Caenorhabditis elegans: one gene and its partner. The protein of the gene in region 1 interacts with the protein of each later gene in a pairwise test. Each region holds a gene or a part of one and is shown in the gene's direction. Other genes may lie near its edges.

Region 1 (7,937 bases):
CGAGCATCCACTTCACTACAGACCGACTCAATGATTGCTTCTTGCCATCTTAGTGAACATATTTAGACAACTTAGCTGAATCCAGATGTTGAATTTAGAATTCAATTTCCTACTTTGTACTTTTTTTCTTTTTTGTTTCTCAATCTCGATGCCATATTGGTTGTACGATAATTGTAATTGTGACTTCATCCACCCAGTGTCTGCTCCCCCTCACATACTTCATAATAAATAGACATTCTGCACCCTCTATGCTTCTCACAATCCCTGCAACAGCACGCAACGCCGCACCGCACGCGTCGCACCGATCAATTTTCGACGTCCTGCGACGACGCGACCATTTTTTAAAGACTTGTTTTAAAGACTTTTAAAGACTTCGAGCTGAACTTTTCAAAATGCTTCGACTTTTCAATTGAAGTGATAGATATTAAAAATAATTAGAAAGCTTCAATAATTACGAATATCCAAATAGGAGAGATTTGTCTAAATTAATAGTTTAAAAATATAATCTCACAAAGTTTATACAAAAACTATGAACTAAAACTAGTTTAGATAGCTGTCTCTTTCGATCATCAACATCGTCAGTTTTTTGAAAATATTCTTAGTTTATCGAGCAATGGACCAATGGAGTCACCAAAATCATCAGGGCCATCAAAGTCAGTCTACTTCTACCGGTCCTACACCACATTCTCACATGACACATGTTGTTCCTCAGGTATGTAGGTGTGCAACTAAATAACACTGAAATTCACAACAAATTCAGCAAAAAGAAGAGGTTCAGTACATGATGCGTCAAGTAACAGATAGTGTTAGATTTGCAATGTGTGAAGCAATTGCACACAGACCGGGTCTTTGGGATTCAACACGAGAAAAAGTGAGCTCGGCAGCACGGAAAAATCTCTTTGCTGAAGTTGTTGAGGTGATTAATCAACAGTTCGTGTTGAGCCCTCCGCTCACAAGTAAGTTATCATTTCTACTTCAGTTATAATTGGTTTTTTTCCAGTCGAAGAAATCGAAAAGCATTGGAAAAATCTGAAAGACACATACGTGAAAACTCGACGGAAGTTAACATTTGATCATGATGGATGCCCTATACGACCGAAATGGAAGTTTTTTGATTCGCTCATGTTCCTGGACAGTGTGAATCAAAACGATTTTGTGATGAAAAAACGTCCGATGCAATTCCAGGGACAGCCGTACGATTTATACCAAGGTCCCTCTTCTAAGAAAGAGAAACTAGAAGAAATGCCATCTGACGAGTACATGGAATTCTGTCGATCGTTGTACCTCCCATTGAAAGAAATAGGATACAAGGATCGCATACACTGGCTGAAGATCCAAAAGTCCATCCGTGACATCGTTTACGAAGCGCAACTGGAAAGTGTTACTAAAGCCGCACCTGATTTGCAATAAACAATTTGTGTTAAAAATACTGATTCTAAACTGTTTTCAACAATTTATTGTAACAATAACAAACAGCTTATGCGCTCTCAGATGGAACGCTGAGGATGATGTCGGAGTCTCCGGCATCAGTGACTGCAAGGGTGCACACACGGAAGAGACGTCCACAGGCGGTTCCGAGCTCAATGTTGTTTCCGTTGTAGTGGTGAACTCCAGTTTTGGCGAGCATGGCGTAGTACTCAATCTCGGACTTTCTGAAAATTAATCATGAGTTAATAAAAATCCGAAATGATAAATATTGATTTACCTGAGTGGTGGAGTGTTGTTGGCAATGATGACAAGCTTAGCCTTTCCGTTGAGAAGGGATTTGAGAGTCTGCTTGTATCCGAGGACGTATTGTCCAGTCTTCATGACCATGGAGAGTCGGGAGTTGATGTTCTCAGCATTTTTCTTGACCTAAACGAATATATGGATCATCAGGCGTTCGAATATTGGAGAATTCGCGAGCGCTTACATTGAGCACCCGAAGCCCGTGACAGAATGAGCGGGGAAGCTACTCCTTCTCAATTAAATCACCCGAGCTCCGGATTACTCCATCGCTGCTCGAAAATTTAACTCCAGAGAAACTTCACTAACCTGTGGCTTAGCAGCTGGAGCCATGATGATTTACCTGAAAATAGAAAAAATAACTGCGTGAACTTCTAATTTGAGCCACGTAAATAGAGCAAAAGAAGGACGGCACATTAAAAAACAAATAACTTCAAAACGTCTTTACGAAAGCGATCATCCGTACTACTTCAGAAAATTTCAACGTCTCAAAAAATAAGTGGTAAGAAATTCAATTTATAATAGTTTACAGCTTGAAGAATTATATAAAAAGGCGTTTATCTGTTGAAAGTTTGCAACTAAAAAACAGAAATAAGTCGAATAAACTAAAATTTGGTTTCAAAAACATAATTTTCTGCAAAAAAGAAACGAAACAGCGAAAAGTATCAGATTTTGGGCCAGAAATAGGGGCAAAGCAGCGATAACTACGGTTCGCGATGCATTTCGTGGCGAGACCCATCGGCACATTCCCTCCTCCCTTGAAACACTAGTGTGTCTTTTTCCGGTTTTTGGGATCCGAGTTCTCCTGGCTCTGAGCAAAAGGACAGTAAATCCCAATTTAAACTGCTCAAAAACCCATAAAAATTTAAAAAACCCTAAAAATCACCAAAAAAATTATTCTTTGGACGATCCGACACCAAAACGTGAGTTTTATTGATTTTTCCTATTTCGTAATTCGAACCGTTACTTGTTTCCGTGCTAAATTGTTTTCTATGATTATTTGGGAAGGACATATAGTTTTCTGTCTCTTTTTGTTGAATAACAAGTAATTTTTTACCGATACGAATAATTGCTGCGTGTTTCCCGATCGATACTTCCCAGGTCCCGAGATGTGAGCGTTTATTAGACAATTAGGCTAACTCCGCCCTTTCTGCTATTCTTAGCGTACTATCGTCATTTGCTCTTTAGTTGTAGGTAGGCAGACACTACATTAACCCGCGGTCTGGCTAGACGTCGCCTGACTTCCTCGCTAGACGTTGTTCCGTGACCCAACTCCTCACCCATAATAAAAAAGTACGGAAATACGTGACGGTCACTAAAATATTACTTCTATTCTATTTATTCAATCTTCAATTCAGTAAAATCATGGAAATGAACGTCGCTGCTCCCGCTGCCGCCGTTGCTGGCGCTGCTGCTCCTCAACCAGGCCAAAATCAGACCGGCTCGTCGTACACCATGGCTTCGCTCTACGTCGGAGACCTCCACCCGGACGTCAACGAGTCGATCCTGTTCGAGAAGTTCAGCGCTGCCGGCCCTGTTCTTTCTATTCGTGTCTGCAGAGACAATGCCACTCGTCTCTCATTGGGCTATGCCTACGTCAACTTCCAACAACCAGCTGATGGTTTGTTTGTCTCCAAATTCACTTCAATCTTTAATTCAATTCAATTTTCAGCTGAACGTGCCATGGACACCATGAACTTCGAGGCTCTTCACGGCAAACCAATGAGAATCATGTGGTCTCAAAGAGATCCAGCTATGCGTCGTTCGGGAGCTGGCAATATCTTCATCAAGAACCTCGATAAGGTCATCGACAACAAGTCAATCTACGATACCTTCTCCCTGTTCGGAAACATTCTCTCCTGCAAGGTAACGTTTTCTTTAGAGCATTGCCAAACCGCCTTCAATTTATGTTGTACAGGTTGCTATCGACGAGGACGGATTCAGCAAAGGCTACGGTTTCGTTCACTTCGAGACCGAGGAAGCTGCCCAAAATGCTATCCAAAAAGTCAATGGCATGCTTCTGGCCGGGAAGAAGGTTTTCGTTGGCAAATTCCAGCCACGTGCTCAACGCAATCGCGAGCTTGGAGAGACTGCCAAACAGTTCACCAATGTCTACGTGAAGAACTTTGGAGATCACTACAACAAGGAAACCCTTGAGAAGCTCTTCGCCAAGTTCGGAAACATTACCAGCTGCGAAGTCATGACTGTCGAGGGAAAGTCCAAGGGATTCGGATTTGTTGCTTTTGCTAATCCAGAAGAGGCCGAGACTGCTGTGCAAGCTCTTCACGATTCAACCATCGAGGGAACTGACTTGAAACTTCATGTCTGCCGTGCCCAAAAGAAGTCTGAGAGACACGCTGAATTGAAAAAGAAGCACGAGCAACACAAGGCTGAGCGTATGCAGAAGTATCAAGGAGTCAATCTCTACGTCAAAAACCTCGACGAGACTGTCGATGATGATGGCTTGAAGAAGCAATTCGAGTCTTACGGAAACATCACGAGTGCTAAGGTTGGTAAACTTTTTCAAAATGCTATCATATACATAATATTTTTAGGTCATGACTGACGAAAATGGGAGATCAAAGGGATTCGGTTTTGTCTGCTTCGAAAAGCCGGAGGAAGCTACAAGTGCAGTGACTGAGATGAACTCAAAAATGGTGTGCTCAAAGCCATTGTATGTGGCTATTGCTCAACGTAAAGAAGATCGTCGTGCACAGCTTGCTTCTCAATACATGCAACGTCTTGCAAGCATGAGAATGCACGGCAACGTTCCAGGAGCAGCCATGTACAACCCAACACAGCCAGGACCAGGATACTATGTTGCTAATCCGATGCAACAGGTTAGTTTTTTGTTGTTTTTTTTGTAATGCTCGAATTTATTATTTCAGCAGCGCAACTTCGCCGGTGGACAACAGATGGTTCGCCCAGGAGGTCGCTGGGGAATGCAAAATCAGTACCCAGTCCAAAATCAGTACATGATGGCTCAAGGCCCAGGTGTCTACCAAAACCGCATGGGACGTCCACAGAACCAACAAGGAGGACCACGCGGTCCACCACAGCAGTACAATCAAGTCGCTCAAGGAGGCGTCCGCATGCAGGGACCACCACGCACCCAAAATCCTGGAGTCCAACAGCAAAACGTTCCACGTCCACCACAGCAACAACAGCAGCAAAGACCAGCTCCAACCGGACCAAAGGCTCCACCACAGCCATATCAGGCATACCAGCAAAGACCACAAGGAATCGTTATTGGAGGACAAGAGCCACTCACATCTGCAATGTTGGCCGCTGCTGCTCCTCAGGTAAGCTTACTTTGTTTTGCAATACTTAATTTCATGATACATCTTTTCAGGAGCAAAAGCAACTTCTTGGTGAGCGTATCTACGCTCTCATTGAGAAACTCTACCCGGGACACAAGGACGCAGGAAAAATCACAGGAATGATGCTCGAAATCGACAATTCCGAGTTGATCATGATGCTTCAAGATAGTGAATTGTTCCGCTCGAAGGTCGACGAAGCTGCATCGGTTCTCGTTTCCGCTCAGAAGCAATAAGTTCATTGCCAAGTGCTCTTAGCACGTTCCCCCAGTTGCTAAGCATACCCATCTCCTGTTTTTTTTTCTTACTGTCACCCTTCTTTTTGTTACTTGTTAGTGGTTGGTTTAGCCGCCCCACACCCCACCCCTTGAGTAAGCTCACTTTTGTGATGTTTATTCACGTTAAAATAAAATCATAAAAATAATCAATGTTAATGGGCAAGTTATAGAAAAAAAAGAAGCAATGTTACACAGATGCCCTTCGCAAACGCATTCGACACCTTCCATCTCATCCCACAAAACAGCTTTTCTACACCCAATAGGAGAATCGGATGGAACGCAAATTCGTTGTTCACGTATCAAACCATCTGAAATTCGAAGCTGACTGCAATTGTATAATAATTAACTCACTAGTCATGGGCGCTGTTCGTCTCGAACATTTCGGACCAACACATGTTGAACCATCGAAATCACAATAACCTTGAAATGAATCGCAAACGAAACATTGCGTTGAAATTGTTATAGGAATTAATATTAAACAAAATGCTACACTTCGTTTCATCGTGAACATTTAGTAAAATGAGTTAAGTTTTGGTATCCGGTGAGAGTAAACATTTACTACTTGAACACAGGAATTCGACTACTGTTCGTGACTCTAGAGACTATTAATATTGGAGAAAGGAAAGTCAGCGTTTTGTTTAAAGACACAAAATATAAAAGAAGAATCAGCAAAGTAAAAAGTTTATAAAAATTAAATTATGCAATTATAAGAAAACGTCTAAAGTTCATCGTGAAGGTTTCTTTTCTCGAATTCCATATGATAGTCTTTCTTTTCTTTTTTCACTTTCGTTTGTCGAATATTTAAAAATGCATCTGCTTGCTCCGGTCTATCTGGAATTTGACTACAAAGCCAACGAGTTTGTGGAGTATCTTTGAAATCTGTAATAATGGTTTCGTTTATATTTTTATCTTTAGTTGAGAAAAACTCACACTCTTGACAAAGTTCTCGTAGACAATGAAGTGCATTTGGCTGCTCATTGAGCTCACACCATTGAAGCTCCAAACTGCAAAATCTTTCGGGTCTAGTGATAACTGTTGCAACGTCGATAAGCTGATAAAACTTCTTTTTCATCACATTCTGGCATCCGTCATAAGTAAATCCATGCGGGAAAAGTGGAATATCTAATCCCTGGAATGCGAGACAAAGTTCAGCACACAAATTGTGGAAAAGGTTTCCGCGGAGCCAATAGTAAGTCTGATCAAGCATGGCTGGTTGAAGGAAGATCTTATGTTGAAGCACATTTGTGATGGACATACAGGCGGTACATTCCAGGCAGACTACTGATTCGGTCAGGTTTAGAACTGAAATTGAAAATTATTCCACGTTGCGAAATTTTTTGTGGTTCTGCTTAAAAACTCTCGCCACGAACAAAATATTCTCGAATCAAGACTGTAGGTGTGCGCCTTTATTCTACAGTAACTCAATTCGAAAATTATTTCGATTTTTTTAAACGTTTTTTCTCTTGTTAAATCAGGAAATTCTCTGAAAACGTGCTAAATCGTACAAAATTCTGAAAAATGTGAAGTCTTCGTGGTGAGACCAAATTTTTGAATGGAACATCGGTAAACTTCACAACAACTGTGTAATAATGTATTTTTAAAGTGATGTTTCGAAAGCATAACACTGGAAAAATGTGATTGATGCAAAACACATTTTTGTTTTAAACTTTAATTTCCAAATATATGATTTTAATATTTTTTGGGAGATTTTTCGAACTTTGGGTTTAAAAAAAATCTGAAATCTAGTTTTAAACGTTTTAATTAGAAAAAAGTTAAAATTTTAGAACATCTGCTGAATTTTTCATGAAGGATCTTCTTCGTGAAGTTTATAATTTTTTTTTTCAATAATTTTTTTCTAGAAAAATAATTTCAAAAACTGAATAAAAAATCGAAAAATAGTTTCAATTTCTATCGGATTTCTCTTACCCCTCGCTGCATAATCGTCATCACATCCCGGCGCAATAGCTGTACAAATTGCTTTTGGCTTTGGAAAATGATTGTAGAGAAGATGTGAAATATGGTATTCATCATCAGTAATCAGAAGGCTATTTGGTTTCAATACTTTTGAATGAATTTCTTCGGCAAATCTATGACAAAGTGAACAGAATGGTCCTGGATGAGCAGTAGCAAGTGTGGAGAAGTATCCGAAAAGTTGATCTTCGGTGATGGAGTTAAGATCGGTGATTTGATTATTACAAACTTCTGATTCACGTTTCATGTAGTACTGAAAAATAGACATATATATACAGCCTGTGAAGGAGTATCGGAGAAGAGACAGGGCAGGTAGGCGTGAGACACGCGTTCGTAGGCACGATGCAATTCTCCATGCCAACACGTAAGTCTAAGCCTAAGTCGAAACATAGGAAAAAGCCTAAGCCTAAGCCTCCTAAGTCATAATTTCAGCTTACATGAAGAGTCTTCATATACCAGGAGAAAGGATCCATATCCTTTGTCTTTGTCACATATACTTTACTTGGACTGAATCTTTTCTTCTTGTCAGAAATTTTCGGTGGAGGTGGTGGTGTTGATGATGGTGCATCCGATGCTCCAGATGTGCTCGAATCGGTTGCTCCAGCTGTAGTTGTGTCATCTGCAACTGTAGTTGGATCAGCAGTCG
Region 2 (8,339 bases), on another chromosome or scaffold:
GGACGAATTTTACGACTGATACGCAAAAATTGTCCGAATTGTACTCATATTTTGCCAATTTTGACTTGTTATACCAAGTCTGTAAGAGTTTTCCTAATTTTTAGAACGATTTTATAATGCAAATTTTAAATTCCTAAAAATAGGGAACAAATGGAGGGGTGCAAAACTATTAGAGGTGCAAAACTAATAGAGCGTGCAAAACTAATTTTCGATTAGTGATTTTAGATGCAAAACTAATGGAGGTGCAAAACTAATAGAGGTGCCTAACTATTTAATAGAGGAAATACGGTAAATTTCAGTTTTAGCCAGTTGAGAGAGGTTGAGCCGCAGGCTCGATCGACACCGTCCGGTTAAAAAGTTAATAGAATCTTTTTCCATTGAATCAAAGTTATTGTTAATTTGTTTAGTTTTCAACAAACTCATTGAGTTTCCTGTCTTCTTGGAGGTTTTGGTACGCGCGCACGTGCGCTCTACTGACCAATGGCCGTGGCCTAGCTTTCTTGGTGGCTGTATATTTCAGCGCGAAATTCGTCAGTGCGACGCGAGCTACATTTATTGATTTTTCAACATTTTATTCGATAAATGTTTTCTGAGATTTGTTTTTCATTTATATTTAAATACACACTGAAAAAATAAAACCACGTGGCGTGGATGCGCGAATTTCATGAAATTAAACTTCATTTTCGAAATCTATTAAAATACGCCACGAAGTTTTATTATTTTCAATGTAAGTCTCGTTTTATCTTTTCCTTTTATCAATCGATTTCAACGCTTTCAACTTATTTTTTTGGAATTGTGGTTTTTAGTTCAAATCTTCTTAACTGTATTTCGAATTTTTAATCTCTACCTGTTCGAAATAGATTCCTCAAGATTAAGATACCTAGTTGTTTTTCATTGATTTCAGAAAATGGCACCCGGGACCAAAAAAAAGTCGGATATGGCAAAATTCACATTCTACAAAGATCGCTTGATGACATTCAAAAATTTCGAATATGATAGAGACCCGGATGCAAAATGCACGTCTCAAGCGGTTTGTCCATTTTCGTGTTTTAAATAAAATTATTCTTGTTTTAGGTTGCTCAAGCCGGATTTTACTGCACCGGTCCTCAGTCTGGCAAATGTGCATTTTGCAACAAGGAACTTGATTTTGACCCAGAAGACGATCCGTGGTACGAGCACACGAAACGTGATGAACCGTGCGAGTTTGTACGGATTGGAAAGCTCGATGACTCGGAATTAACTATTAACGATACCGTTCGTCTCTCACAAACCGCCATGATTATGACTAAACTCTTTGAGCATGAGATGATGATAAATAATTTGTCTAATCATTCTTCTTCTGATGCTCTCTTCGATCAGCTGAAAAAAGTACCGAACACAGCATCGACAACAAAATCTAACAGCCGCCGCGGCAAATAATTTTTCTACATCACTTACTGCAACTTATCCAATTATTGATTTGATCTCATATACTCGATTTAATCACTGTTCAATAAACACTTAATTCATTATTTTATTATTCATTCAATGTTTTTGTTTTGAAATTATAACTTGTGTTTCATCGGCACTACAATATCTTCCAGTTTTGTATTTGATTCTTTTTTTGTCTAAAAAAACAATTTCAGGACAGTATTTCATCAGGATGTCGATGAAACTACGAGAGTGAGTGTATTTCACTGATTATCATGTAAAACCAATGTTTTTTAGTATCCTTCCTGCTCCTGTGGCGGCAGACGAAGCAGCTTCACAGATTCGACGAGATCCTTGGTTTGGTGGGCGCGATAACGAACCATCCGCCGCACTCGTATCGAAGGAACCACCGCCGTACGGAAAACGGACCAGTTTTCGACCAAGAGGGCCTGAAGTGAGATTGAAAATATTAATATTCTTCTTAATTTTTCTTTTCCAGGATTTTGGCGATGGCGGAGCGTTCCCTGAAATTCACGTTGCTCAGTTTCCTCTCGGATTAGGTCTTGGAGATATGAGAGGAAAGCCAGAAAATACGCTCGCCTTGCAATATGGAACTGATGGAAAGTTACAACACGATGCTATTGCTCGTATCGGACATGTTAAGGATAAAGTTGTCTACTCCAAGCTTAATGATATGAAAGCCAAGACGTGGAACGAGGATGATGATGATATTCAGAAACCAGACGATGACGCTGTTATCGATGCTACGGAGAAGACAAGAATGGCTTTGGAAAAAATCGTAAATTCAAAAGTAGCCTCAGCACTTCCTGTTCGTCATGCCGACAAGTTAGCACCTGCTCAATATATCAGATACACTCCAAGTCAGCAGAATGGAGCTGCTGGATCACAACAGCGCATCATCAGAATGGTTGAAGAACAAAAAGATCCGATGGAACCACCAAAGTTCAAAATCAATCAGAAGATTCCTAGAGCACCACCATCTCCACCGGCACCAGTCATGCATTCTCCTCCAAGAAAAATGACAGCTAAAGATCAAAACGATTGGAAGATTCCACCATGTATTTCAAATTGGAAAAATCCAAAAGGATTCACAGTTGGGTTGGACAAACGATTGGCTGCTGATGGACGTGGTCTCCAACAGACTCATATTAATGAAAACTTTGCGAAGCTTGCTGATGCTTTGTACATTGCTGATAGAAAAGCTCGTGAAGAGGTTGAGACACGTGCTCAGCTTGAAAGACGCGTTGCTCAAAATAAGAAGTCTGAGCAAGAGGCTAAAATGGCAGAAGCCGCAGCAAAAGCCCGCCAGGAAAGATCAGCGATGCGGAGAAAGGACGATGAAGATGATGAACAAGTCAAAGTTCGCGAAGAAATTCGACGTGATCGTCTCGACGATATCAGGAAAGAAAGAAATATTGCTCGTTCACGACCAGATAAAGCTGACAAGCTTCGCAAAGAGCGTGAAAGAGATATTTCGGAGAAAATTGTGCTTGGTTTGCCGGACACGAATCAGAAACGAACTGGCGAACCACAGTTCGATCAAAGATTGTTTGATAAAACCCAGGTTTCAGTTCCTTCTTCGATAAAATTTAACTAATATATTTATTTTTCAGGGACTCGACAGTGGAGCAATGGACGATGATACTTACAATCCTTATGATGCTGCGTGGCGTGGCGGTGACAGTGTTCAACAGCACGTTTATCGACCGAGTTAGTTTTTCTTGCTTATTTTCAAATATAAATTAAAATTAGTAACGGGTCTAGGTATTTTGAATGTATATATATATATATACCCACAATGCTCTAAAATGAACGAATTTCATAATGAAACGTTCCAGAAGTTTTTCAAAAAAAAAGTTTTATGGCGTTTTAAAATTTCAAAAAAAAACATTATTTTAGCTGAAATCTTATTTTGGCAGTTTATCTTATGCTATTCTAAGGTACATTTAAAATCGAAAGGTTACCGAAATTGATTACCTATGTTTGCTTAAAAAGTACCTCAATTGACGATATTACGTGATATTAAAATTTAAAAAAAGATTATAATTCAAAAAAAATCATTTTTGAACCTCTGCGACACGAAAAATTCGCCAAAATTGATTCATTTTTTCTAAATTTCGAACCGCCATAAAAATCTAAACGTTCAAAAATAACTAGAACCGTTAGTTCTTTAATATTTCAAAATTGAAATGATTTCCTAATGTATGTCTGAACTGAGGAATTTGTGACATTCTAAAATTTATTGTTTTTCTAATTCATTGGTGTTGGAATTCACAAAACTCTTTGATGATACTGATGTATTTGACTTTCATGTCCGTTCTGGTTCATTTGTCGTTAAAAATAGAATCACAACTTAGGTGCCTAGTATTTGATAAGACGTTTGTAGTACTGCAGTCATTACGATTAAAATGACGTTATGCAAATACGAATTTCGAAAATAATTGTATTTTTGTCAAAACAGGAAGAAATGACGATTTATAAAACTTTTGCAGGCAAAAATCTCGACAACGATGTTTATGGTGGCGATTTGGACAAGATCATCGAACAGAAGAATCGGTTTGTAGCTGATAAAGGATTTTCAGGAGCAGAGGGCTCGAGTCGTGGATCTGGACCTGTTCAGGTTAGTCAGTTGATCTGTTGTCAGAAATTTTAACTACGTTACTAAAATAGCTGGGAATTTTGAGAATTTGGGCGCTGGCTCGTTGTTGATGAGCGTCAAAAATTGACTGATAAGTAACGACGAATTGAACCAATTCGTTGATTTGTGCGGTCATTATCATAAATGGATCATTAATTTACGTCATTCCGAAAAGACACGCACAGCAGTGTGTTTTGGAAGTAGAAAAGATTCTTTACATTCTTGGTTTATGAGCTTCAATTGTCGTGCGTAATATGTTTGACATTATTGATAAAATAAGATTAAAATAATTAAAATATGTCAAAGTTCAGTTTTCATCCATTCTCTTTATGGTCGAAATGAACTATTGATGTATTTTAACTCACGATTAATTTGATTGTAAAAGTTAACCAATTTTAGATATTCTAATTAGAGTTATAATAAATAATTATGGATTCATCAATATTGTAGTTTTATACAATGCTCAGAGCTTATTGAACAAAAACTAATTATATCTTTTCTATCATAGCCGATTAGCTTTTCTTTTTACTTAAGTTCGGGATGCAGATTCTCTTCAGTTTAACACATAAAATGTATTAAATTACTTTACTGTTTCTAGTCACATTTCGAGCTGAACGATCAGCATTTTATCGAGTTGTGTCTACGGAGGCTGGTGTTTGCGAGCATCTTTCATAACCCAATCACTATCAGTACTTACGAAATATCACGTCTTATCACCAACAAGCCAGAAGCATTAGAACCAACATGTGATTTACTCTAAAAGTTGAAATGACTGAAATACTAGACAGAACTAGAGCGGTGTTGACTATATTTCGGTCTATTTTTAGGAAATGATAACTTTTTGCTCCGAATATACGTGTAAATGAAACAGCTCAAATCAAAATTTCACTCTCAAAGTGGCATTGTAGTTAAAAATACGTATTGCATTTTTTAACAAAAAAATCTTAGTTTTAGTTTTCGCTTATTATGAAAGTGGACGAAATAAACAGTTGTCCTCCCAGTTTTTATAGTATTTATTCGTATTTGGAAATTCTAGGGATCGAACCTGTAGAAATAATCGAAATTTATCAAAAAATTGAAATTTTTGAAAAATTTGGCATTTACTATATTGAAAACACCAATTTTTCAAATGTTTAAACCATGTTCATAGTTTAGATTTGAACAGGAAACGTATTTTTTTTCCGGAATTGTTTGCAGCGAACTCGGGGAGCTGGGTAAACTTTTTCGGCGAAATGGTGTTAATTGTAGACTAACATCTAAACTGAGTGATAAGCAGTAAGCGGATAAGCCAACGATCATCCGTGTCGATTTATAAATTGGTTCAAGCAGCGTTCAAAGGGCAAAACATTAGATGATGATGATGACAGAAAATACGATTTTCATGCCATTTTAAGAATGACAATGATAATTCTAGTATATTTCATGACAATATTTCCGAATCGTGATTGTGCATGGCATAGTTTCGAAATTTCTTACAAAGTTTATTATAAACTTATCAAGAAAATGATGACGATGCGGAATCGTCTAGAATTACAGGACAGACACGATGGCGGCCGATTTGGCATGTTTGCGTGTGACGATCGAATTGTTGCAGAACGCGTAGAAAATGCTATAATCTGGTCAAAGTGCATTTGATTCCAACGAAATAGTTTATACGCATTGAGTTTAACTGTGAATCGAACGTTATTGAAATTTAGAAAATTCCATCTGCGAAATTGAGTGTGTGGACCCGTAGTATTCAGAAATATATGTATTTACTGAATTATTTTTTTGAAACCTAATTTCTAAAGATTTCATAAGGAAATTGCATAAAAGATGCTCTTAAAATGACTGTGACTACTTCTAAAATTTACTTATCAATGAGTCATAAAACATTAAATGTCACTGTGCATTTATGAATCACTACAAAATGTTAACCTTTTTATTTCAGTTCGAGAAGGATCAAGATGTTTTCGGATTGTCATCACTTTTCGAGCACACCAAAGAAAAGAAACGAGGTGGGGATGGTGGAGACTCCCGTGGAGAATCAAAGAGGTCTCGACGCGACTAATTTTAATATATTTTTTATTTGTTTTCTGTTATTTTTTCTCAACTTCTTTTTTGGAAAGAATCTCTGTAACTCTTCTGTAGTTGGATGTTTGCACAAAGATGAATCAAAACCGTGTCAATTTTTATTAATAACATTTCGAAAGAAGACCAAATTATGTCAGCAAAGAATGAGCGAATTTGAAAAATTATGGCAAAGAGGATTCGGGAGAGGGGAATATTGAAGATGTTCTTAGGAATGGTTGATTTGATTATTGAGTTGCAAAATACTGATCAAGAAATCTTTTTGAGCATTTTCTTGTTGAAGACCACTAACTGCTTGCCGGAGAGCTTTTACTTCCAACTCGAGTTGCTCCTTCTCATCATGAAGACTTTTCACATTCTCCACCTTTTGGCGCATTTGAGCACGGTACTGGCGAGCATAAAGACGGCGATGACGCTTCTTTTGACTGTGAGCATCTTGTCCATCTGCAATTTCTTGTTGTGGTCGACCACGACGGATTTTACCAGGAGCAGCAGAACTTTCAGTTGAAGAGCATCTCTGAAAATACAAATAATATTACAAGATTTTGAGAAAATATGATATGCTTACCGAGCTGGATGTGGTAGATGTTCCCAAAGAAGCAGAACTTTCAAATGGCAAAACAGGCAGATTGATGCTGAATTGAGCAAGCATTGCTGGATTAATAGCAACTGGACGATGAATTGAAGCTGATGAGAATAGAGATTCAGGAACAGAGGAAACTGAATTAGAAATAAGAGAATTAGTCATTGTTGTCATTTTTCAGGAATGAAATGTGGACTGAAATTTGAATGATGATAACTCTTTTATACATTTGCATCAGGGGGACACCCACTTTTTCGTTCCTTATCATTTCTTCCATGTTTGTAATTGGAAACACAAGCACCGCCCATATTCCCGCCCCTCCCCCGCACTTCATTTCGATGCATTCCGCTTTTTTTCGAAAAAAATTTGTGACTTTTGTGTACGTGTTTGAAATACACGACTGTTATCAGCTGAAAGAGCAAGGTCGACAATGATGATGACGTGTTCAGTTGAAATTTTTCGCTGAAAATGTAACCCATATGCCGTCTCGGAGACTTCCGATTGGGGTGTGGTTGTGGAGTATGGTGTCAGAATTGATGGGTTGAGTGGAACAAAATGGACTCTTGAAAATAATAGGAACTTATGTTAGACTATGTTCAATATAATATCTATACGCATCCAACTACGTAGTTGGCCGACAATTATGAGCACCCGAGTTGTGCGCACAAAAACTCGATCTCATAGTGAGCAAAATTTGAATTTTTTTAGTGGTATGTACATACAAGAGCGTAGTTATGTCTCCATAGTTATGTCCAGCTGTATATCCGAGCAATATCTTTCTTGGAGACGACCTACATATGGTTGCAAATATTACCTACCTCATAGGTACGCAAGTAGGCATTTTTTGTTTGAGTGGAAGCCATCAATAGAGCGGAATAAGTTTTCAGTTTTTTTAAATAAATACTAAATTTTAGTTCAAATCAGAAGACATACAGTAGTCTCTCTGTAATTATGTATTAAACTGACATCGTTCCATACTTGCATTTTATATCTCCATTGTTTTCAAGTAAATTATAACATATTGAAATACATCTTTATCTATATTTTATCCTCTAATATTCGGTTAAGCCAAACACATATAAAATATGAGAAATCTAACAAGTAAATAAATTGTAAATAAAGTAGTAAGAGTAATAATACATACAAAGAATACGGTATTTATTTCTAGCAATTATACAAACTGAATTGACTTCATGGAAAAGTAAAAGCGATGAGCTTATTTTGGTAAAATTGTTAATAATCTCAAAACGTGGCAATTGCCCACTTTTGCTGTTCCATGTGTTAACACATTGAAATTTATACAATACATTTTTCATGTTTCAGAAAAGGTTTTTTTAAAAGTTTATCGAATTACCGTATTTGTCCTATTATTAGCTAACGCAATATATTTTTCAAAGAGTACAGTTTTAGATGAATACTCTTAAGAAAAACACTGTACATCAGGTTTAATCAAGTACCCGAAAATTCTTAACTGCTCACCACGATGTATATTTAATTTATTTCTAGTTTATATTTTTAAGGAGATGCACCATAGTACGTTAATGCAGAGTGAGCAAGCGTACCTGAATGAGCACACCATTTTTGAATTTCTGTCCTAATACTATTACCTTTACGAAC

The links. Proteins that work in one complex are often made in the same cells at the same time.
Region 2: the proteins of pab-1 (region 1) and skp-1 interact in a two-hybrid assay, tested with the Caenorhabditis elegans proteins (one study listed by BioGRID).

What each region holds. Positions count from the first base shown.
Region 1 is NC_003279.8:10,430,385-10,438,321, reverse strand, and holds pab-1 (Polyadenylate-binding protein), read left to right. Parts: upstream 1-3,083; 5' UTR 3,084-3,090; coding exon 3,091-3,346; intron 3,347-3,397; coding exon 3,398-3,591; intron 3,592-3,643; coding exon 3,644-4,234; intron 4,235-4,280; coding exon 4,281-4,565; intron 4,566-4,613; coding exon 4,614-5,027; intron 5,028-5,077; coding exon 5,078-5,278; 3' UTR 5,279-5,461; downstream 5,462-7,937. Other genes in the region: pdpr-1 (DAO domain-containing protein), read left to right, coding at 1-34; madf-10 (MADF domain-containing protein), read left to right, coding at 614-712, 761-956, 1,001-1,410; rpl-30 (Large ribosomal subunit protein eL30), read right to left, coding at 1,478-1,652, 1,706-1,854, 2,035-2,058; Y106G6H.1 (Saposin B-type domain-containing protein), read right to left, coding at 6,039-6,199, 6,251-6,622, 7,247-7,544, 7,729-7,937.
Region 2 is NC_003283.11:11,643,856-11,652,194, forward strand, and holds skp-1 (mammalian SKIP (Ski interacting protein) homolog), read left to right. Parts: upstream 1-1,625; 5' UTR 1,626-1,642; coding exon 1,643-1,662; intron 1,663-1,707; coding exon 1,708-1,864; intron 1,865-1,909; coding exon 1,910-2,995; intron 2,996-3,044; coding exon 3,045-3,141; intron 3,142-3,923; coding exon 3,924-4,051; intron 4,052-5,999; coding exon 6,000-6,119; 3' UTR 6,120-6,235; downstream 6,236-8,339. Other genes in the region: Chromosomal passenger complex protein bir-1, read left to right, coding at 908-1,030, 1,075-1,419; Transcription factor zip-10, read right to left, coding at 6,348-6,656, 6,708-6,896.